Linked DNA regions of Mytilus edulis. The protein of the gene in region 3 binds, or shares a complex with, the protein of the main gene of each other region. Links are inferred from orthologs where the notes say so. Each region holds a gene or a part of one and is shown on either strand. Other genes may lie near its edges. The genes, in order: GATOR1 complex protein NPRL2-like, GATOR2 complex protein WDR59-like and protein SEC13 homolog.

Region 1 (8,083 bases), about 20 Mb from region 3:
AACGGTTATTCCATAACGGTCAACCAACTAGTGATGGCGTCCGTAAAATTTACGAAGGGATGATTTCAACTTCACCATTTGGAACTCTTGGTTTAATAGCTTCCTTGTGAGCAGTAACCCTCTATCAAGAAAATCATGATAGGAAATGCAAGCACAGGAATATCGTATCAATTGGGAGATATATACCCCATATGCAGGTGCTGCTGGAATGTTTAAATTAGTGAAAGTTGTTAAAAATTATTGTTTCAGACGAGAAGATTTTTGTAAAAGATAACAAAAATTTACGAAAAATTGTTAAAAATTGACTATACAGGGCAATAACTCCTAAAGGGGTCAACTGACCATTTTGGTTTTTAGATCTTACTTTGCTGAACATTATTGCTGTTTACAGTTTATCTCTATCTATAATAGTATTCAAGATAATAACCAAAAACAGAAAAATTTCTTTAAAAATTACCAATTCAGGGGCAGCAACCCAACAACCAGTTGTCTGATTCATCTGAAAATTTCAGGGCAGATAGATATTGACTTGATAAACAATTTAACTTTGTAAGATTTGATCTACTTGCTTTGGTTTCAGAGTTATAAGCCAAAAACTTCATTTTACCCGCATGTTCTATTTTTAGCCATGGTGGCCATCTTGGTTTGTTGGCCAGGTCACCACACACATTTTTTAAACTAGATACCCTAGTGATGATTGTGGCCAAGTTTGGCCTAGTAGTTTCAGAGGAGAAGATTTTTGTAAAAGTTAACAGCGATGGACGACGGACACCAAGTGATGGGAAAAGCTCACTTGGCCCTTTGGGCCAGGTTAGCTAAAAATAGAAAGCATACAGAAAAGAGGAGCACGTTTCATCCTGCACGATTATAAATCCAGACACCAGGTGCGTCACAAATATGCTTTCTAAGCCAAAACTACCACCTCTTCAAGAACGAAGGAAACATCAGAGGCTGACTATGTTCTACAAAGTGGTTGAGCGATTGATCCAACTTATTACCTGCAAAAGACAAGAAATAAACGCCAAGTCAAGGCAAAAAACTTTAGTGACTTTCAATACTCAAACATCGTGGAAAGACAAGAAACTAGAAATAGCAGTTCATACAAGTTAATAGACTGCAAAACAGACATTCGAAAGAACTCTTTTTTTCCAAAAACAATAGTAGAGTGGAACCATCTGGACGAGAAAACTGCATGTCAAAAAACAGTTGAGTGTTTCACGGCTGCCCTCCAACGGTTGGACTAACCAACCCGCTCTCCTTCTAGTGCGCATACATGTATATCCGCGATTGGATCCTGCACTGTGTAAAATACAGATACAGAAACAGATACAAGATGGCTAAGGTCCTAAATTTAAAGAAATTTTAATCCCGACATCCCAAAATTAGAAAAAAGAATTCTTGGATCCCGAAAGTATTAATGCCAGCTTAAAAACTTGTGAAAACACCCTGTCTCAGAGTCTCGATAAAGGTCCAACCCCCGCCCCCTCCTTTCTCTGAATAAACATCACAGGCACTTGTTTCTACTGTTCTATCCATGGGAAGGTCGACTGTGCATATATATGGATAGTCGACCTTCCCATGGATAGAAACAAGTGCCTGGATAGGCGACCTCCCCATGGATAGAAACAAGAGCCTGGATAGGCGACCATTAAGGTTCATCATAACCTTTTGGCTAAAATGGCCGTATTTACACCCCAAATTTTACTCTGAGTACAGACTAACCTATACACCTGCAACAGTTTTAAGGGATGGCAGGAACTAGATATATAAATTTTAAATGCATTTTATGTTTCAGAAAATTATAAACTTTTCTAGGTTTTGCTATCCATTTTTTTTCGTTCCTGCAGAAGGTGCAAAAATTAACTAAGTAGTGAAAACGATTGAGAAGCTCCCCTCATATAATCAATGTTGTGAGTAGTATTGATTTAAATGGACAATAGATGGACAATAGACACCTGTAAACAATAGGTTATTTAACAGGTTTAAACTGTGTAACTGAGTGGACCGTATCAAATGAAACTTGGGTGTTTGTTTATTTTGCTATCTTCTGCAGACTGGAAAAAAATGAACATCAAAATCCAGGTAAGTTTTTAATTTTCTGAAACGTAGACTTCATATTTTTATATATCTAGTTCCTGCCATGCCTTAAAACTTTCCTGGATGTACCAGTTTGTCTGTACTCAGAGAAAAATTTGGGGTGTAAATACGGCCATTTTAGCCAAAAGGTTATGATGAACATTAAGGTTCATCATAAGGAATTGAAAAATATGGCCGTGTTTACACCTCCAAAATTACTATGAGTACAGACAAACTGGTACATCCAGGAAAGTTTTAAGGCATGGCAGGAACTAGATATATAAAAGTTATATGAAATCTACGTTTCAGAAAATTAAAAACTTACCTGGATTTTGATGTTCATTTTTTTCCAGTCTGCAGAAGATAGCAAAATAAACAAACACCCGAGTTTCATTTGATACGGTCCACTCAGTTACACAGTTTAAACCTGTTAAATAACCTATTGTTTACAGGTGTCTATTGTCCATCTATTGTCCATTTAAATCAATACTACTCACAACATTGATTATATGAGGGGAGCTTCTCAATCGTTTTCACTACTTAGTTAATTTTTGCACCTTCTGCAGGAACGAAAAAAAATGGATAGCAAAATCTAGATAAGTTTATAATTTTCTGAAACATAAAATGCATTTAAAATTTATATATCTAGTTCCTGCCATCCCTTAAAACTGTTGCAGGTGTATAGGTTAGTCTGTACTCAGAGTAAAATTTGGGGTGTAAATACGGCCATTTTAGCCAAAAGGTTATGATGAACCTTAAAGCATCATGATACAAATTTTATGTGTATCTCACAATTTTCACAGGGCAAAGACATTTACAGTATGTGCATTTACTTGATATTTGATCTTAGGACCAGCAGTTGGATGGAATTCTGCAAGGCACATTCCCTTTATCATTGTTTCAAATTTAATCTGTAAATGCAGGGGAATATAAGTAAATACAAATGTAAATAAACTAAAAAGTTGTCTGCAAGAAGGGAGGTAATCGAAAAATATCAGCTGATTATTGAGGTTTTACCAAAATATGACCATCAATACCCGGGAACGGAACCAGATATGTCTGTAGTGGCCTGTCTGTATTGTCTGTATTGGTACATGTAGAATCCTATTTAGGCATTTTTTAAACATAACTTCTAATAAACTTAAGGTGACTCGGGCGTGCTCCTCCATCTATTATGTAGCAAGAAATCAAGTCCGATGTTGTATTTGTTTTCTCTTGATGTGAACATGTATACTGTACAGTGGCGGATCCAGAAATTGGCCCACTGACTGACCTAAGAGGGGGCCCGCTCCAGTCACGCTTCAGTGATTCCCTATATAAGCAACCAAATTTTTTCCCAAAAAGGGGGGGGGGGGCGGGCCCCCTGCCCCCCCCCCCCTAAATCCGCCTCTGCTGTATACTTTTTTTACTATTTAAAATTTTGGTTAAAACATATAGCAAATTTGAAATGATATTAAATTTATGTTTATCTAAAGAGAAAATGAAAATGATCCACAACAAAAATACAACCAAATTTGCATATAAAACTGTGACAATTCTGCTTCTATTTGCCGCAGGCTATGCCCCGAAAACGATATTTTCTTTCAAAGTCGATCTTCGCTTACATAGGATATCTCTGTTGGAATGAACGTAATTAAATGGCCATTGTTCTATATAAACTTGGTATCTGTTAAGTAATTTCTTCGTAGTTTCCGTTTATCGCTGGGTGCGCAATGACTCAGTCAGACGTAAAGCACGTTATTGCGTCAATACCGCGGTGTAATCAACCAGTCCACACTAATAAACAGCTTTTCACGCTGTAAAATCATAACAGTTAAGTTATATAAAATTGATAGCTATAGACTAGATAGGCATAAATCATGACTATTCCGGAAAAAAACTATAAATTGTTTTATCATAATTTTAGTCTAAAATGATGACAACATATTGACAAAACGTCAAAAATATGCGTGTCAGACGTAAACAGACTGTACGAATAATAACTTTAGCAGGTTTGTTTTGTGTTCTTCAAAACAGTGTTATATCCGCGAAAATTCGAATGAATCAGTGGCGGATCCAGAAATTTTCATAAGTGGGGGCCCACTGACTGACCTAAGAGGGGGCCCGCTCCAGTCACGCTTCAATGATTCCCTTTATAAGCAACCAATTTTTTTCCCAAAAAAGGGGGGGGGCCGGGCCCCCTGGGCCCCCCCTCTAAATCCGCCTCTGCAAGATGTCCAATGTCGGAATTCGCCGCTTTTTACAAATAAAGTGTCATTTAATTGCGACGTTATTTATTGAAACTTTAGAATCCTTGCATCCTAAATAGTGCTTTTCCGTAATTGAACTTTTTATTAACTCTACAAAACAGTCAGCTACATACTTTTTGATACTTTGCGCATTCAAAACGACTTCGTTTTCAAAGAAATTAAATGTCTTGCAATTTTGTCCACTGGACGATTTTTATACGTTTTCTACGTTGTCGATTCGAGACGCTATTCATGGTTGGAAATCATCTATTTACATTTCCTCAGATAAAATTTCATTGATAGTCAGATACTATAATTATCAACAATACCACAAAGTATAAAAAAAATCGATGACTGGGGTTGTTCGTTTAGATGAGGTTAAGTGGTGAAAAACTTACGAGAGAATAAACAATCATCTCTTTCAAATTTTCAAATTTGGGAAGCGTAAAACTGTGTCTTTTTTTTTTTTATTTCTCTGCAATACGATTCATATGTATAGAACTTGAAAGCCGAGAAAATAAAATTGGGCCTAAAGCGTGGCTATATACCTTTCCATATCAAACAAAGCTTGTAAAGTCATAAATGGACTTATATTTTTTTTACAGTTAACATGAAAATTCAGCCTGGGGTTGAAGTGTAAATATGATTAAGCCATTTCAAAAGGTAGAAGAACTTGATTCTTCATGTCCTTGGTCCACTTTTTAGTTTAATCAGTTTTCGTGCTCAAACTTAAAAATTTAAATGCAGGTTCTTTGGCGGCCTCATGCTTCAGATTTTACTGTTCTTTAAATTTTAATAAGTTAAAAAGAATTCCCTTGAGGGCAATTCATTGTTATCTGAGCAAATCAGTTACATATTTTTTTGCAATACTTTTGTCAGGTGAAAATATTTGGCTACACGGCTGGTTACTCAAGTGTGAAGTGAGTAGATTTGAGTGTATAAATTATCATGTGATCAACAGGTTTGAATTGGGCTTTATTTTAGTTTAAATTGATCTTTACTTGGACAAACTCCTGTGTTTTTCCTTAAAAATTTTGGGGACATCAGATGAGTTCAAAGTTATAGAAGATTTAAGGTATCATTTATTTATCATAAATTTCTTTAATGTGATCTGTTTTGTTTGATTTACTTCTAGATATGTTAAACATCTTCTTAATGTCTGTGCATGTCTATATATACAAGCTTTACTTGAGTTACAGCATAGAGCTTTTACTTTAACCATTTAAGATTCATGATTGATTGTTGGTTGCATAATTTCCAGTGGCAAATATAACAAAAAGAATAGAGCTCACATTCATGTATCTGTCTTGGGAACAATTAACAGTTTAACCAATCAAATTTGGGTAAAGTTTTTGAACTGGTTGGCAAAACTTACTGAAAACGTCTATGTTGAAAACCTTGTATTGTAGGGTCAATAGACTCAAAAATATTGAGTCTATGGGAGCAACATTGCTAAATCAAAAAATTTCCCAACAAAACTTTAGGGAAGGTATGGGTACAGTAAACACACATACTTTTTGGTTTGCAACATATTTTCTGGAATAATTTTAATATTAAATGTTTCTTTTCAGTACTTTGACACTACAAACTTAGTTATCTAAAAAATCTAAATTGGTATTCAGATGCATCTAGGAAAGCAAGACAGTATATCAACTTCATTTCACAAACATGTTGATTTTCTCTTGATACAGTAGACCAAGCCTTGAATACAGGTATAATCAAATAGTTTATTACAAAACTTAATCATTTTTTTTTTTACCATCCGGATTACTAGCAGGTTTATCTGATAATATATTGTACTATATGTATATTAACAATTAGATTGTTAGATTGTTTCTGTGATGATCTAAACTAAATATACCTAAAAAAAAAATTCATAAATGTCTGAGACCGAAAGCTTCTGGATTAGTTTTTTGATGATGAATTTCTCCCAAAATTCTTCTTGATAAACTTTTCTCAGATTTGACTACTATTATGATTTGGACATTAAAGTATACAACGGTATTCATCTTTGATAGACCTAGTGCTACAGTTTAATAGGTAAACAAATAATATGCACACAGGAATATCCATCCAGAATACAAAATCAGTACATAGACAGCATAAATAAACGAACAAAAGAAAGGAACAGTGCTTTTATTGCTGTTCTTCATCTTATACATAATCAATTTGCACAAAATTTATCATTTTCACTCAAAAGTTTGAATAAGTTTTAAAAAAAAATTAAATGTATGAAAATATACTTTTTGTTGCTATTGATATACAAGTCATTTATACAGACATACATTTTATCAATGAAATTTATCATTATAAGTTATAAATAAGGTAATATAAGTTAAGTACACTTTTTTAGCTCACCTGGCCTAAAAATGTGTCCAGTGACCTGGCCAACCAACCAAGATTTATAAAGAATGATAAATAATATAGAGTTTTAAGTTCCATTCTTTCATATTTATTAAAAAGAAATGATGTTTTAGAGGAGCCAACAACTGAGCAGAGAGCAGAAGAGAGATTGATGACCTTGAAGAGTAAGCAATGTGAACAGTAAGCCAGCTGTTAAGTATATCTGGGGTTACCAAATATTATGGTAAGAACCTCATCTATAATCAAACTTGGTGAGTATTCTTTTTATTGGTTAGATATTATGCATCATTATAAAAAAAAGGGGGATGTAGGGTATAAATCAACAAGGCAGCTACCCAATGAAAATAAATAACCAAAGACATCTACAGGTCTTCAACTATAGACTGATGTTTATACAATACATGAACTTGTAAATCATCCAAAGTCTAAAAGATTTGTGAATAAAATGAACAGACTAACAAATAACTTACATACACACCAATATCTGACCTAAGCACATGAGCATGTTGCAGGGTGAAACTTTTTTATATAAAGCCCACCCTTTTTGTGCAATGCCTAACCAAACTACAAAATTTCATACAAAACACTTTTCAAATTGAAGGGTTTCAAATTTTGAATAAGCTAATTTGTTCTTTTTAAAAAAAAAAATGCCAGATGCAATTAACAAACAAAAAATTATTTGGAAATCTTGACTCCCCCGCACGAGAAAAATGTCACTCTTATTATTTAGGAAATGGTCACTACCTCGATAGTCTTTAAAATTAATTCAGTTGCTCTGGTCATTTTTCAAAATTTAACAAGTGAATGAAGTTGTTTTGATGAAGCTTACCTTTAATCAATTGGAGATAACTGTGACCACATGGATCATAATTCTGAAAACTTATCCTGAAATCCTGGGCTTAAAAACTCGAAATCCTGAGGTCCTGAATTTAAATAAATTTAAATCCCAACATACCGAATTTCGAAAAAAGAATTCCTGGGTGTTGAAAGGGTCAATCCCGAGATCCTGAGCTTGAAAACACTCAACCCCGGAGTCCCGATAAAGGTCCTATCTACCCTCATATCTATAATTGTCAACTAAGATAAAAGAAATACAGAAATTGTTTACATTAAATTGCCTTTTGCCATGTGCTTTCATCAACAAAAGATTTTTTTTTCTATTTTCCAAAATAAATTCCAAGGCTACGATGTAGGATGCCATAATCTTCTAACAAAATACCACAGCATGGAGACCCAAATCAGCACACTAAAATGTCCAATGTGTGTCCTACATCTTGAAATAAATATCATTTTATAAATGTTCAAATATCTTCAAAAACATTTTTTTTTACTCATTTCTACTCTGTTGAGACTATTTCACTAGCACTGCACTTTGACTTTGACTAATACAAACAGAATGTTTATTGAAGTTGAAT
Region 2 (7,955 bases), on a different chromosome or scaffold from region 3:
TTCAGAAAGTGTTCTGTAAGGTTTGTTGATCTACATTTGTACCTGTACAAGCTCAGGTACATGTACATGTACAAGTGATTAGCAATCTTAATCAACCACAAATGGAAGTTTTTAACGACCTTGACTGGCTATATAGCCGTTGCACAGTCGGTCGATATTAATCCAGATATCCCTCAGGCACAAGAACTGTATTGGATTATAATACAAAAAGCTTAAGGGTTATGCAATTACATGCATTTGCTTATAATTGCTAAAAAAAAATGGTGCAAGGTGAAATAAATTTGAACGATGGCGCATGTCTATGACAATGGCAGAAGATATTTGAATGATGATGGGGCGCCATCATTAAACAGGTCATGGAGATCCCTGGTTAACTATATTGATCTGTGTTTTTTTGTTGTTGTGTTGGTAATAAGCATTATGTACAAGTTTCATAAGGGAAACTAAAGTTAACCTGCTACATTTTAGTGGCGTAGCTAGACAAATGTTGAAGGTGAAGCCCAAATCGGCAGGGGGTCTGGGGGCCGCTCAAGGCCACCAGTGGGTCCAGGGCAAAGCCCTGGTAGGGGGCAGGGGGCGAAGCCCCTAGAAGCTCCAGGTTTTTAGGATTTTACACCCACAAATATTAACTGAAAATATTGAATGTTAAGGTGTAGTCAAAAGCATTTTTGTTTGATACAAGTCAGATAATTTTGTGAAAAAATATATATTGTTCCTCAAAGAAACTGTAAAAACCAGGAGATTCCAGTGGGATAAAAAGGTTATATTTGCTAAGACCAGTGTCTCGCCTACTTTAAGAATCTAATAAATGTTTTAAGAACTTTAACTGCAGACTGTATGTAACTGGATGAAAAACTTAAGTCCATATATAAGTAATATACGGAAAAACAGGAAATATATTTTTTTTAAATTTCCTTCTAGATACTAGCTTTTGATCATAATCAAGCTTCTGTCCAAGTTTGGTAGAAATCCAGGGTTGTTTACTTTAAGAAAGTTATTAAAATTTCAAAAACTTTAACCACACAGTGAATATTTCTGGACGCCGCCGCCGACGACGGAATGTAAAGATCGCTATGTCTCGCGTTTGTGACAAAAGTCGCAGGCTCGACAAAAACCACACCATTAAAATTTGTTTGGTGATGAGATGTAAACAATATATTCAGGTTAATATAATGGGTACCCAGGTTAGGGCAGGATGGTGCCTTCAAATTAGTTTAGCCCCGCCACATTCGGTATGTGCCTGTCCCAAGTCAGGAGCATGTAATTCAGTGTAATGGTTGTCGTTTGTTACTGTATCATATTTGTTTTTCTTTCATTATTTTGTACATAAATCAGGCCATTAGTTTTCTTCTTTGAATTGTTTGTGTGGATATGAATTATTAAAAGAGTCAAAGCAGGGACTTTCTATAAGGCCAATTAAAATTAATTGGTAGATTTTCATCCCCGCCCGCCCCTCTGAAATCGTCCCGCCCCGATTTTTGTTATTTTGAAAATTTTTCGATTTCTGGATTTGTTCATCTCCGTTTCCAGTAACCATCAAAATTTGTGTTTCCTTCCAAACTTCCTGTTTCAAATTTGGAAATAAAAATTTAAAAAAAAAATCCTCCCACCCGCCCCATTTTTTTCAAAAATTTGGATGAAAATCTACTAATTAATTTTAGTTGGCCTAATAACTAGTATAGACTGTCCCTGGTCAGAGTCAATCTCTTTCACCAACAAAAAAGCAAGCCTAATGTCAATTACTTTATCAATGGACGTCTCCTTGTACGCGTGAAGGATACATCTATAGCCCCGAAAATTGTTCGGTTGTCATCGTATAAGGGAGCTGTCATTTGATTTTTATGGGGGGCTAGGATGAAAAATTTTGTCCTGCATATTTTTTTAGTTGTAATCTCTGTCCTGCCTTTTTATTTTTCACTCTATTCGGTCCTGCTTTTCTTTTTTAGTTTATCCTGACTTTTTTTACATAAATTGTCATTTTTTTGCAAGTGTCTCATCCTGCCCTTTTTTTTACTCAAAACTCCTGTCCTGCCTATTTTTTTCAAATTTCATCCTAGCCCCCCCCCCCCAATAAAAATTCAAATGGTAGCTCCCTAATGCAGATACGTTTTAACCCGGCACATGACACTGAAACTGCGTTGATTCAGCGGTGGAATTGGTCACAGGCATTGTCAATTCTGCGTTGCATTGTAAATAGCAGAACACCCTGCAGACACAATATTCGTCTGCTATAAAAAGAGGGGAAATAGAGCGCTGGTAATGGGAACGAATGCCGAGAGTCTGAGAAGTGATATCGACTCGTTGACTTCTACAACTTTTTGTTTATTTAACCGCACAGTGCCCATTTATTTTTCCCTTCACTTTCTCTCACTCGGAATCTCCTCCCTCTCTCTCATACAATGTACCTCTACCTCGTTTTTTTTTTTTAATTTTTTATTATGATTTTTTGTTTTTGACAAACAATGTTGAAGCCTTGGCTTCCGAGCTTCCGCCTAGCTATGCCACTGATTTTGCATGGGCCTGTATCAAGAGCCTGTAAATCAGTGGTTGTCATTTTTTGGTGTATTAGTGTATATCGTATTTTTTATTGTTCTGTATTTTTATATTATCCGGCCATTATTGGCATTTTTTCTCATTGGAATTGTTTTATGTTTGTCAGTTTTATAGCAGATTGCAGGGTTTACTCATTGTTGAAGGCCGAAGGGTGACCCTTTTTGTTGATTTCTATGCCAACCCTAAAATTATTTCCCTTTTCTTGCTTTTGACTGTTTTCAGGGAAGACTTTTGAGGGCTGACAGTTTAAATTTTAACCTTTTCTCTTGACGAATATTATACATCGTACCCTAGTGGATCATATGACAGGTCCCTTGAACTTATCTTTCACTTAATTTACCTGCAAATCCCCATATTCTGCAACTGATTGTTCGCCACTCCATTGTGACATTTTCACGGATCTCCATCAGTACGGCGATAGACACGAAGGGAATCGGTATTTTAAACAGTCTTCACTCGCCACATTATCTTTCGGTCCATGCTATTGTACGAACAAAAAAATCCTTTTTGATCATTGATGGTTTCACATACGGCCTACACTAAATAAAACAACGATTACTAATTGTTATAATTTTTCAACTCGATAAACTTAATTGTGGTCTTATACGTGTACATTAATTGGTCAAGACTAAGCTGGTCAGACTGAACAATTTAGTGTAGTCAATATTTTGACCACTATAAGAACTCATTCTTCGTTAAGATTTTGTTTATTCTTACTTACAGGGAAAACAAATTATAGATGTATAAAGCCAAGTCAGTCACAAGATTCAAAGGCAACACCATCAACAAGTGCTCTTTGGCTCACGTCAAGTCAGTAAACTAAGCATACTTGTTAAATTCGACGTACATATATGACATATAGACACAGAAAGATTTAGTTGATGTGACTTTTGAAGTATGGAATAGTGCTTTGTAAGAATGGCCAATGTTTTTTTGGGTTCAAACGTATATATAGCGCCTCGGATATTTGGAGGGGTATGTGTTACCTCATGCTTTTTTGAGCAGCAGTATCATGGTTACATTTCCAGTTGACATCGAGATAACCCCGGTTTCAGTTTGCTATGTTAGGTCAAGTTTGTATACTTTATAAGTATTTTTAATATATTTTTGCCATGGCATTGTCAGTTTTTTCGAATATCACTTTGGTACATGTATTTTTTGCTTCTCTTTTGGACGTCCATTTGGCTGAGTGGGATGTTTAAGTACGCACCCACGTGCACGTCCAGTCATAATGGGGATGTTAAATCCGATGCCACGTATAGAGAGAGTGTCACGTTGGCTATACGTTAAGAACTTTTGCAACAACATTTTGCGGGATCTGTATATGGCATATTGCAAGCCGGTTAAATATCAGTCCCTATCCGATATATTTTTTGTTTTTTGTGCTATTAAACTGTATGTGCCTGTCCCAAGTGAGGAGCCTCTGGCTTCGTTAGTTGTGCATGTTTTATTAATTTTTGTTTCGATTATGTTTCAGAGTTTATTGTATTTCCGCTGAACTAGTACACATTTTTGTTTAGGAGTCAGCTGAAACCCGCCTCTGGGTGCGGGCTTTCCCACTGTGTTAAAGAACCATTGGTAGCTTTGGGCTGCTTTCTGCTTTTTGGTTTGAATGCTGTCTGGTTGACACATTTCTCGCTTTAATTTTCAATTTTATGGATATATTTTCTCAAAAATAATTGATAGGTTTTATGATTTTGAACTTATAGTCTTGTGGATAATTTTCATGCATAATCAGATCGAGAGGAAAAAAACAACGAATGCAATATGTAGCTGTACATAGTGCGCCAACTGTATGGGGTTCGTGTTGTTTATTCTTTAGTTTTCTATGTTGTGTCGCGTGTACTATTGTTTGTCTGTTTGTCATTTTCATTTTTAGCCATGGCGTTGTCAGTTTATTCTACATTTATGAGTTTGACTGTCCCTCTGGTATCTTTCGTCCCTCTTTTATGAAAGGCAGGATAAAGACTATCGCTATAGAACAAAGATATATCAGATATGGACATAAACTATGCTATGCACCAGACCATCTACGACCCTCAAATAGTTACATGGGTTCTTAGCGTAATTATGAGTAAACATCCCCATTACAACCGAACGTCACGGTCTGAGTATTTATACACAACTGACAGCCAAACGGACAGCTTCTCGAGTATGTATAATTATATTATTGGTTTGCAAAGTTTTTGAAGTTAAGCGTTCCATAAAAGCACAATTTAGTCAACATTGAGTATAAAGTAAAATAGCAAAAATACCGAACTCCAAAACAAATTCAAAATGTAAAGTCCTTATTCAAATGGCAAAATCAATTATTGGCGCAAACGAAACATGGTTTGTGGCGAAATAAAATTAACGGTACCAATTTTCTTGCACCAGATGCGCATTTCGACAATACATGTCTCTTCAGTGATGCTCGTGGCCAGAATATTTGAAATCCAAAAGCTTATATAGAGGATGAAGAGCTATAATCCAAAAGGTCCAAAAAGTATAGCCCAAATCCGTGAAAGGAATCGGAGCTTTGCATGAGGGAGATACATTCCTTAATTTATAATAATTTCTATCATTTTGTAACAGCAAATTTTAATAGCACAATAAATCCGTATTTTCATGCCAGTACCGATCGAAGTACTGGCTACTGGCTACTGGGCTGGTGATACCCTCGGGGACTAATAGAAAACTGATGATGAAACGTTTTATTTAAGCGCAAACGAAACTTAGTTTGTGGCACAAATAAAAAAATTGTTGGCTTATATGAAATGCCAATCGTCCAACAGGAAAGCACCGATGTAAACAAAACAAACATACAGAAAATGTAAAAATGTTTTTAAAAAAGGGGGGTACATTGTGTTATAATCAGTCTATATTATTATCGAAACAAAAACAAAGATGAATGTCAACAAAAAAAGGCACATAGACAAAGCGCATTAGTAAAACTAATGACAAGAATACAAAATATTATCATAACACATTAACAGGATGCATAAGTACCGAGCCACGTCAAATGAATATTACAAAAAAAAAAGACTAAACAGAAAAAGTAATAATGTTCAATTCGTTAAATAAAAGTATTTTCTCAATATACTGCCGACATTTACCCACAGGAACTTAATAAAAGCATGGAAGTATTATATTGACAGGAACTCCGACAAAAAATCAGCACATTCGCACCCCGCTGATTTCAATAAAATACTTCCATGCTTAAAGTAAATCAAATTTAAACGTTAATAACGTTTCTTACAAGCTTTAGATATTTCGGTTTTAAACGGGAAACTCAACACTAAAATTTACGACAAGAGGGAAGATTTTTCGTTCCCTATTGTTAATTTTTTCTTTTTGGATGGTGATGTTCCTTTGGCGACATCTTGCGGTGTTTAGATTTCACAACTCGTTCACTATGCCCGTGTCTGTTATGACGTTTTTGATTTTAACGAACGTAATCTTTGCAGTACTGGTAAATTATTAAGCCAGGGATTTCGTTTCCACAAATTACTTACAACCTTTACTAAATTCTTCCATAGATATAAACATTTGGTTTTTAAGTTTGATTGTTCCTACAGAAAACTTAAATCAAACGAGGTAGCACATCGATCGTCATTTTGACGGAAATGTTGTTTACCGTGTCTGGAAATTTAGAAACAATCCTGGTAAACTTATCGATTCATTTAATAAACTTATTCTAAAAAGTTACCAATTCAACACTGTAATTAGATCATTGAATATTGTTTTTATTGGTATTAATATTGATTTTGTTATCAGTAAATTAAAAGCAAACTACATATTATTGTTTTATATATATATATATATATATTTACAAATTCATTGATCTACAATCTGTCGATACCTGTAGCTTTCCATTGCACAAGGTCGTGTTTTGCTCTAACTGTTTAAGAAGTCTTTACACTAAACCCATTGGATGTTGGATTTGTACTGATTAATAATTAAGTCTTATATGCATGATTTTTTATTAAATGTTAGTGGCTTTGAACTAGCTGTCAGTAGCTGAGAGTACTCTCAGATATGTACTTAGTGGGTTTTTTTTGTTGTTGTTGGGATGTATAAGTACCCGGCCACGTCCACTTGTATTTTTATCCATCTAATGAGTCCTGCCTTTTTCAACTAATTTTTATAGTGCGTTCTCATGTTGTACTGTTACACCACTGTCCCAGGTAAGGGGGAGGGTTAGGATCCCGGTAGCAGTGACATAGAGTTGTTAATTGCTGTGGCATTTGGACTCTTGTGGAGAGTTGTCTCATTGACAATCATACCACATCTTCTTTTTTATATTAGCAGCAGTACCTAGAATCTATACTTCTTGACCATCGTTTATGTTTGCGAAGTTGCAACGGAATATTTATCAACAAGGTTTTGGTATTCCGATGAACAGGTTTTATAAAAAAAAAAAAAAGGACGAGACATACCCCTGGTTTACAATTTTCTGCTCAGACACTACATGGTGACGTATAACAAAGTCTGAGTCGTAGCTGCGAGCTCATGAGTACCGTGCTAATGCGGCGTAAACCAACCAATAATCAATCAATCAAGAGTACCGAATGAGTCAGGGGAAAATAAAATTGAGAATGGAAATAGGGAATGTGTCAAAGAGACAACAACCCGACCATTAAGCAGACAACAGCCGAAGGCCACCAATGGGTCTTCAATGTAGCGAGAAACTCTTGCAACCGGACGCGTCCTTTAGCTGGCCCCTAAACAACTATGTATACTAGTTCAGTGATAATGCACGTCATACTAAACTCCGAATTGTACACAAGAAACTAAAATTAAAAATCATACAAGACGTGACAAAGGCCAGAGTCTCCGGACTTGGGACAGGCGCAAAAATCGCGGCGTTTTTTTTCAGATCTCAACCCTCCCCTATACATCTAGCCAATGTAGAAAAAGCAAACGCACAACAATACGCACAGTTTAAGAGAAGTCCGAATCCGATGTCAGAATATGAAACAAAAGAAAATAAACAAAATGACAATAATACAGAAATAACAACAGACTACTAGTAGTTACTGACATGCCAGCTTCAAACCTCAATTAAACTGATTGAAAGATTGTGTCATCATATGAAGTGTATCCAATACACAAGTGAAGCTGGTATATTGCTACTAAGGGCAAGGAAATTGATAATTTAGGTATCAAGTCTACAAAATCGGGCCGAAAGATACCAGAGGGACATCCAAACTCATAACTACATATGAGGCATTATAGAACCATTGTAACAATTCTGAGGGGTCATTATGAGGCCTTTTAAATGATTTGTATGCAATAAAACCCGTTTTTCGGTATTCTAGAGCTTGCAACTGCTACTCAGACAGTGTCTTAATAAAAAGTTGACGGGCCAGGGATATGTCAAAGAAAGTCTCGTCCTTTTTCTCAAAGATTTTCGGATGGTA
Region 3 (7,403 bases):
GAACCATCTAGGGGGGTTTAGGGGCATGCCCCCCCCCCCCCCCAAGAAACTTTTGAAAAACTAGGTGCAATTTCCTGCATTCTGACAGTATCTGCAGTCTTATTCAGATATTTTTGCAACAAAGATTATAACCTAAAATTTGCATGATTTTACAAAAAGTTGAGTTAAAGTTTGGAATAAGTCAAAACATGCAAATATTAAAAATTTCATTAATTATTTAATCTTGTACTGTTGTACAACACATTAAAAATACAAAACCTCAAAATAATAATTTCAATAGGGACAAGATTTCAATACTTATGACAAGAAATTTAATTGCCATTGAATGAATATAAATATTAGCAAGTTACTTTCAATACAAAGTTGCCAACAGATTAAGGGTTTAACAAGGTACTATTGTAGATCATATTCAATTCATAGTTCAGAGTTCGCAGGATCTTTGTTCAGTTCGTTTTTTTCTAACACAAGAAAAAACTTTTCACAATGTGCGATACTGTGGTGAATTTTCATAATTCCAAACGCTGGCATCCTGATTCATGCCGTCCATGAAATATACTTGATCGCTATCATTTTTGCCCTTTAAAGAGCGGTTATTCCCAGTCAAAAAAGTGCCTTTCAGACACTGATCGCCGTAAACGAAAGCAACTATGATTTTTTCACCGATTGTTAGAAAATCTGTACTTTTTCATGACGAATCCGTATTGAGTAATTTTATTAAAAAATCTGTGTAAAATATTGACAATCCATACACGTAAACACCTTTGTTTTTGCTCCTAGAATTTAGATTTAAAAAAGGAGTTAATTTCTTAATTTTGGAGATTTATATTCAAAAAGGAGGGTACCCCAAAGAAAAGGAGCAACTGTATCCTCATTTGGCTTCAAATGGATAATTGTTTCATTGCAGTGGCAAACATACCACATCTCTTTATTTTTATCTTATTAATACACACTCAAATAAAAAACACCTACATGTATGAACTAAAAATGTATATTCATGTGATATGTATGTATTCTTACCCTTGTAATTCATTTATAAGTGTCTGTTGGCCATCTTTAACATCAAATATTTTAATGGTTTTGTCTGATGAGCAGGTAGCTAGTTTTGTTCCATAGTAGTCAAGCTGAGCATCATGCTGAAATAAATAATTGTTTTCTACAATAATTTAACATAATTTGAATGATAAAGAAGTTATTTACTAGTATATTACATGTATACTAAAGAGTTCCAGAATTTGATGCTAGACGAGGGCCCTATGCATTCATTATTTAATAGAAGACCATAATTTAACAGCGATTACATTTGTTTTGTGTTAAGCCCTTTCTAGAAGACCTTGCAACTTTGATGATGTGCTCAAATCTGAAATATTTCTAGTTTGACATATTAGCTGAATTATATATGTTTATTTTTTAAGGTACATTGTATCACAATAAATACACTGCTAGTACCAGTAAATATATTTTGGTTGTCAGTATTTTGCTCGAGTTAACATGGTTAATTTTAAATTGTTTTGACTACATGTACAATTGCGTCAAAAGTTAAAGCGGCTGGGTCAGCCGGGATAAGTGCTAAGGTGTATTGCAGTGCTCACATGATAAGTTAGTAAACTTTGTTTGACAAGTGTCTTTATTCATTTTCTGCATTTATCATGTTTATGTAAATGCATTAAAAAAAACCTAGCATTTCTGATCCAATGACATGTTCTTAAAATTTTGTATTATTACTTACAATCATATCTTCATGAGCTGTATCTATAGAATTGATGACGGAAACCTGAAATAGTTAAAACAAATTATGATTATCTTAGCAAACAAGTTATATAAAAAAGAAGATGTGGTATGATTGCCAATGAGACAACTATCCACAAAAGACCAAAATGACACAGACATTAACAACTATAGGTCACCGTACGGCCTTCAACAATGAGCAAAGCCCATACCCCATAGTCGGCTATAAAAGGCCGGTATCGGGACCGTTCGCCCTAGGTCCGTTCGTTCGCCCAGAGTCTGTTCGCCCTACTATAAAAATATTAATATTCAGGGCATTGGAAATTGAATAAACTTATTCAGATATTTCTATGGTATATATATCATGTATATTCTTGAAATTTATGGAAACATTGAAATATTTAAAAGTTTATGGCTTGTTTTTGATCATTAATTGTTCAATTACAAAATAATACGGATAACTGATTATTGTGAACCTTGTCTTCTGATGGATTAATAATAAAAACAAACGTTTTATTTTGATAAAATATTCAGCTTGAAATTAATAAAACTAATGATGTACGAACTGTAAATTATGAAACGGATTTACAAGACTAGTTCATTTATTTATACTGCATACTTTCGTGATTGACTGATTACAATTATTTTGTTAACAAATATCAATAAAGATAAATACATTGTATTCCAGTATTCTACTCTGCAAATCAAAGGGAAAATGATAAATTGATTGCTGCAATATAAATATTCTGTCAATTTTTCAACAAACTTTAACATAATTTGTTCAAACACTTAAAATAATGCGACTAGACAACAATTAGAAAAAAATAATAATCAGGGCGAATGGACCCTGAGCGAACAGGTATCAGGGCGAACAGGTTCTCGGACGAACATGAATCAGGGCGAACGGACCCGGATTCTAAAAGGCCCCGATAAGACAATGTAAAACAATTCTACGAGAAAACTAACGTCCAGTAGTCATTGAGTAGACTTGTAATTGAGAATGAAAAAGTGTCTCACTGTTGTTATATCATAAACGAATTAACTAAAACACAATTGATGATACTAAAAAATACTATATTTAAATTATATATAAAGACTTATAAGTTCCCGGTCTCATAACACTAAACACTAACAGATATATTTTGTGTTAGTCTTTGTATACAAGCAGTATAGTTAGCAATATTTTCACCTGTAACCTACCATTGTGGGTTTGTCCTGAAGTAAAGTATTAGCGTGTTTTGTCTATTTTAAATGCCTCAGAATGTGCCAGGCTTAAGTTTACATGTCAACACGAACGTGGCAAAATTTACTTCCGGTAAAACTGCAAAGTTATCCCCCCTTCAACCGATGGGTGAACCTTTTTCAACAGTGGCGTATTCCGGATAAAATTCATAGCATGTTTTTAAATAAATAAGTCCTCGGGTCATTATTTTCTATTTCTGCCCATTTATCTATTTCTTTTTCTGCCCATTTATCTATTTCTTTTTAACTTATTGTGCAAACAAAAAATGTCAGCAAAAAACTGTTAAGGGAGATAACGCCATCATCGGTATTTATTTCTTCATAGCTATACAATTTTCTCATACTTTAGTTTAGGAACCAAAAAATATATTTTACCATTTTTTTTCTCTTAAAAAATAAAATAAGAGTATGGTTCATCAGGTATTGAGAAAGTCCCTGGGTGAACCATGCTATTTTTCATTCTGCAATTAAGTCGAGCAATATTGGATAATTATATCAAGGATTTGTATATCCAGAGACATATATATATGTCTCTGGTATATCTATAGTAACTATACAAATCTTTGATTATATGCATTCTTCATCAATGATGACATAAATCTTTGATGCGAATGAAAAAAAATATAAGACAGAATTTTGAAATAAAATATGAGAAAATGTTTTTTTTTTTATAGTATTTAGACCGATGAACCACCTTTTACTTCATCTTTATCCAGGTATAAGAATACTGCCCATTTCTACATAAATCAATTATGAATTTAAATATGTACTCCATTTATAGAATTAGGACAAAATTTAGAGAATGTAATGTAGATTTATACACTAATTTAGATAATGTGTTGCATAAAAATGTTATTTAATTACATAGTTAGAAGATTTTTTATTTGAAAATTAAGATAAATTGGCATAATAGAATATTGTCACAAAATGTTGGAAAAAAATTACGCACTTATAAATTGTTTAAAAATGTTTTTGAAACAGAGATGTATTTGAGGAAGAACATTTCAATACGATACAGAAGTGCAATTTCTAAATGTAGGTGTGGCGTTGCCCCCATTGCGAATAGTAACAGGTGGCTATGAAAATAAAACTGTAAATGAAAGAGTTTTCTTTGTGTGCAATGATAAAATTGAAGATGAGAAACATGTGCTTTATATGCAGATTTACATGAAATTTTAGTTTATGAAGTTAAAAGAAGTAATGGTGATTTTAATATTTAATCTGATGGTGATATATATCTTTTTAAAAATACTGATTGTTTTGATGTGGTTGCCAAGACCTGCTTTAACAATTCTGAGACTACTATAATGTTATAGTAGTCTCAGAACAATTTAAGTAGAAAAAATAGTTTTTTATATGCTTGGTGCTTGATTGATGCATGGTTATGTTTTTATAAACTTGAAATTTTTTATAGACATGCTAATTGTAGTTGTATGGTTTTACATAACAAAAATGTTTTTATAGACATGATAAATATATAATTATAATTTATATTGATTTCTATAGTCTCTCATAATTCTTTATAGAATGGCACTTGTATTTTAATTTATAAAATTTTTGTCTTATTCAATGTATATATTATGATGATTGTATTATATGTCTTACAAGTGGTGAGACTCAAATAAAATATTGAATCTGAATCTGAATCCATTTACGCGTTTAGTGAAAAACAAAAAAAGTTATAATTGCTCTAATGAGGTGTTGGGTAATTAACGATAGAATAATCATAAAATGACATTCTGATCACTCCAAGCCAAAAGACAGCTCGTCAACTTGTCAACGGAAATCTACCGTTTAGTTAAATTGTAAGAAAAAGATCATGTCCACGTCAACAATATTTATGAAACTGACAGACCAATTTTCGGAATGTCACAACTTTGGAACTTTGGGATTTTAAAATTTCTTAATCAGAAATGAGCGTATAAATATCCCAAGCCTAGGTTTCAAATCATTTAAACAACCAAAGCTTACAAGACATACATGATGGCATTGTTTACTAGTTCAACTAAATGTCAAACTATGGTAGAGGAAAAAGCCAATTTATTATCCCAAGATAGTGAAAATGAAGGTAAGTGTGTTATAATTTGTATTTTCACAATTTAAAATATCTGTTAAACGTTCGTCGAGTCTTTGAACATTCTAATCGTAAAGCTAGTGTTAATAAGAAAACTTGAAAAACATATATTAAAGTAAATTCTTCATAGAAAAACTATCACCATTACTGAAAGTCTTTTTCTTCTCGTTTTGTATTTTCATGTCTAAAAAGTTATTCATATACAGGAAATTATATCTTGATATTTTCAATTTCTGTGTCATTTGGTCCCTTGTGGAGAATTGTCACATTGGCAATCATGTACCACATCTTCTTTTTTTTTATATTAAAAACAAGCAGTAGTTAACCAAAAACAACTGTTTTGAAACACTCTTGGAATATCTTTAAAATTTTTAATCATTTTGTATTTTTAGACTTTTCATCTGGATATGATTCACCAGAGTACTTCTCTGATCAAGATACAAAAAGAAACTGCTCCAACAGATTACAAATAGTCCCATTATCTGATAAATCGGACATTTCATCTGCTGAATCGATTCCGTTTAATGATTACTCATATGAGGATGACGACATACATAATGATAACGATATTGCCGATTCGATGAAAGTAACCAATGTGCATACATTGATCGATAACATTCGATATATTTTATCGATGCCAGATTTATGCGATGTTATGTTTATCGTAGGCCCACAAAGAGTTCCCGTCTATGGACTGAAGGCTATTTTAAGCACACGAAGCAGGTAATTGTCTAAATTAATAGATGTTGATCTCCAATACATTTGTACATATGTAAATAGTTTATATGCATTTTCTCAATACAGTCTCAAATTTGGACGAATTATATCATATCGGTTTTTTGGTTTTTTTTTTTAAATTGTCCAAGAAATATAACAGGTCATTATGATAATGAATTGAGTGCGTCTTTGATTTTAGGTAATTTTAAATGCCATCTGTTTTATAGAAAGTTGAAAGAAAAACAACGAGTTTCGCTTGAAGTGAGTCTTCTAAACAATGGAATATATTCTAAACCGAACTACTTTGCAGCTATAATAAACCATGTATTCTTAGTATAATAGTTTTCTGGGAATAAATTTTAAATCTTAATTTCCATTTCTAGGTTATTTTTCGTTATGTTTTTGAAATACTCAAAAGAAGCATTGAAACAGAGAAAGAAAACGAAGATAACGACGCACATCCAACCAGACCAGAGCAACAAATTGACTATGACTATAGATAATTATGATGCTGATATATTCCGTACATTTTTGTTGTTTGTCCATTGTGGAACAGTAGAAATAGAGCCATCAACAGTTACTGGTAAGCATAAGTTGTGAACTCGCTATAAACATCGATCGATTGATAGAAGAAAGGGGGAGGCTTTTCTCAAATAAAGTGTAAAGTGTTTTCCTTTTTTTCACACTTTTTTTTTTGTATCAAGACAAAAATTAAACAGTTCTAACTAGTAATCTGAAATAACATTAAAAATGTTTTGAAATGCTAATCGCTACTGATCTCATTTTAGGGCTACTTTGTTTGGCTACGGAGTTTGATATTCCCGACCTGCGGAATTCATGCTGGGAATTCATAGACCGATGCCTGTCAGTGCAATCTTTTTCTACCGTATTGATGAAAGAAACGATCTTTTATGGCGACCACAAAGCTGCACAGAAACTTAGGATTAAGGTAAAATTTAAATTTTATTGTAAAAACTTATGATTGATTCTGTGTAATGTAAGTGCATGTAGGGGGAAAAAAGGGGGGGGGGAGGTAAAGAAAAAAAGAAAAACATTTTAGTAATTAATGGATGCATATAAGTGTATCGGTTAAAGATAAAAAGAAACTGAAAAAAAACCAAAAAAAACAGTCTAAGTATCAAGCATTCTCCAACAATATTTACAAGCCATTTTCACGTGTTTTTGTTTTTTTTTCAGATTTTGAGAACTGCAACAAAGGCATCGTTAACATCTTCATCTGTTTTTTAAGAGATTGAATTCCCGTAGCACTGAACAAGATCGCGGTACCAGCAAAGAGACATAAGTTTGAATTTATAGAATTATCAATTTTAGTGCTATACTTTGCATTCTAGTATGAATTATACAGATAACTATATATGATTGAAAATACAACTATAGAAATGTTTATACATGATGTATTCATAGTGCTTATAAAAATAAACGTTTACTGCTTTTGATTTCTTTATAGTTGCCAATGGCCTGAACTACTTTATTGAACTCCTTTATTGTTGTACTTTTCGCCGTGCCTGACTCGCATTGTTGGCATATCAAATTTGTCGTGAAACTTACGCATTAGAAACATAATTTTGCTAAATTTCAGTAGCATTGCTAATCTAATTTCGTTTTCCAGAAATTCATGTTTTCG

The links.
Region 1: protein SEC13 homolog (region 3) and GATOR1 complex protein NPRL2-like share a complex: the UniProt entries of both Drosophila melanogaster proteins name them as parts of the GATOR complex. The link is inferred for Mytilus edulis from reciprocal best matches to the Drosophila melanogaster genes Sec13 and Nprl2.
Region 2: protein SEC13 homolog (region 3) and GATOR2 complex protein WDR59-like share a complex: the UniProt entries of both Drosophila melanogaster proteins name them as parts of the GATOR complex. The link is inferred for Mytilus edulis from reciprocal best matches to the Drosophila melanogaster genes Sec13 and Wdr59.

What each region holds. Positions count from the first base shown.
Region 1 is NC_092344.1:56,140,948-56,149,030, forward strand, and holds the start of GATOR1 complex protein NPRL2-like, read right to left. Parts: upstream 3,075-8,083; 5' UTR 2,973-3,074; coding exon 2,910-2,972; intron 1-2,909. UniProt on the Drosophila melanogaster protein: An essential component of the GATOR subcomplex GATOR1 which functions as an inhibitor of the amino acid-sensing branch of the TORC1 signaling pathway.
Region 2 is NC_092348.1:39,835,495-39,843,449, forward strand, and holds the start of GATOR2 complex protein WDR59-like, read right to left. Parts: upstream 3,004-7,955; 5' UTR 2,945-3,003; coding exon 2,894-2,944; intron 1-2,893. UniProt on the Drosophila melanogaster protein: A component of the GATOR complex, which functions as a regulator of the amino acid-sensing branch of the mTORC1 signaling pathway.
Region 3 is NC_092344.1:35,865,198-35,872,600, forward strand, and holds the start of protein SEC13 homolog, read right to left. Parts: upstream 3,074-7,403; 5' UTR 2,929-3,073; coding exon 2,926-2,928; intron 1,772-2,925; coding exon 1,727-1,771; intron 1,134-1,726; coding exon 1,018-1,133; intron 1-1,017. Other genes in the region: serine-enriched protein-like, read left to right, coding at 5,622-5,764, 6,142-6,341, 6,547-6,707, 6,956-7,006. UniProt on the Drosophila melanogaster protein: Functions as a component of the nuclear pore complex (NPC) and the COPII coat. At the endoplasmic reticulum, SEC13 is involved in the biogenesis of COPII-coated vesicles.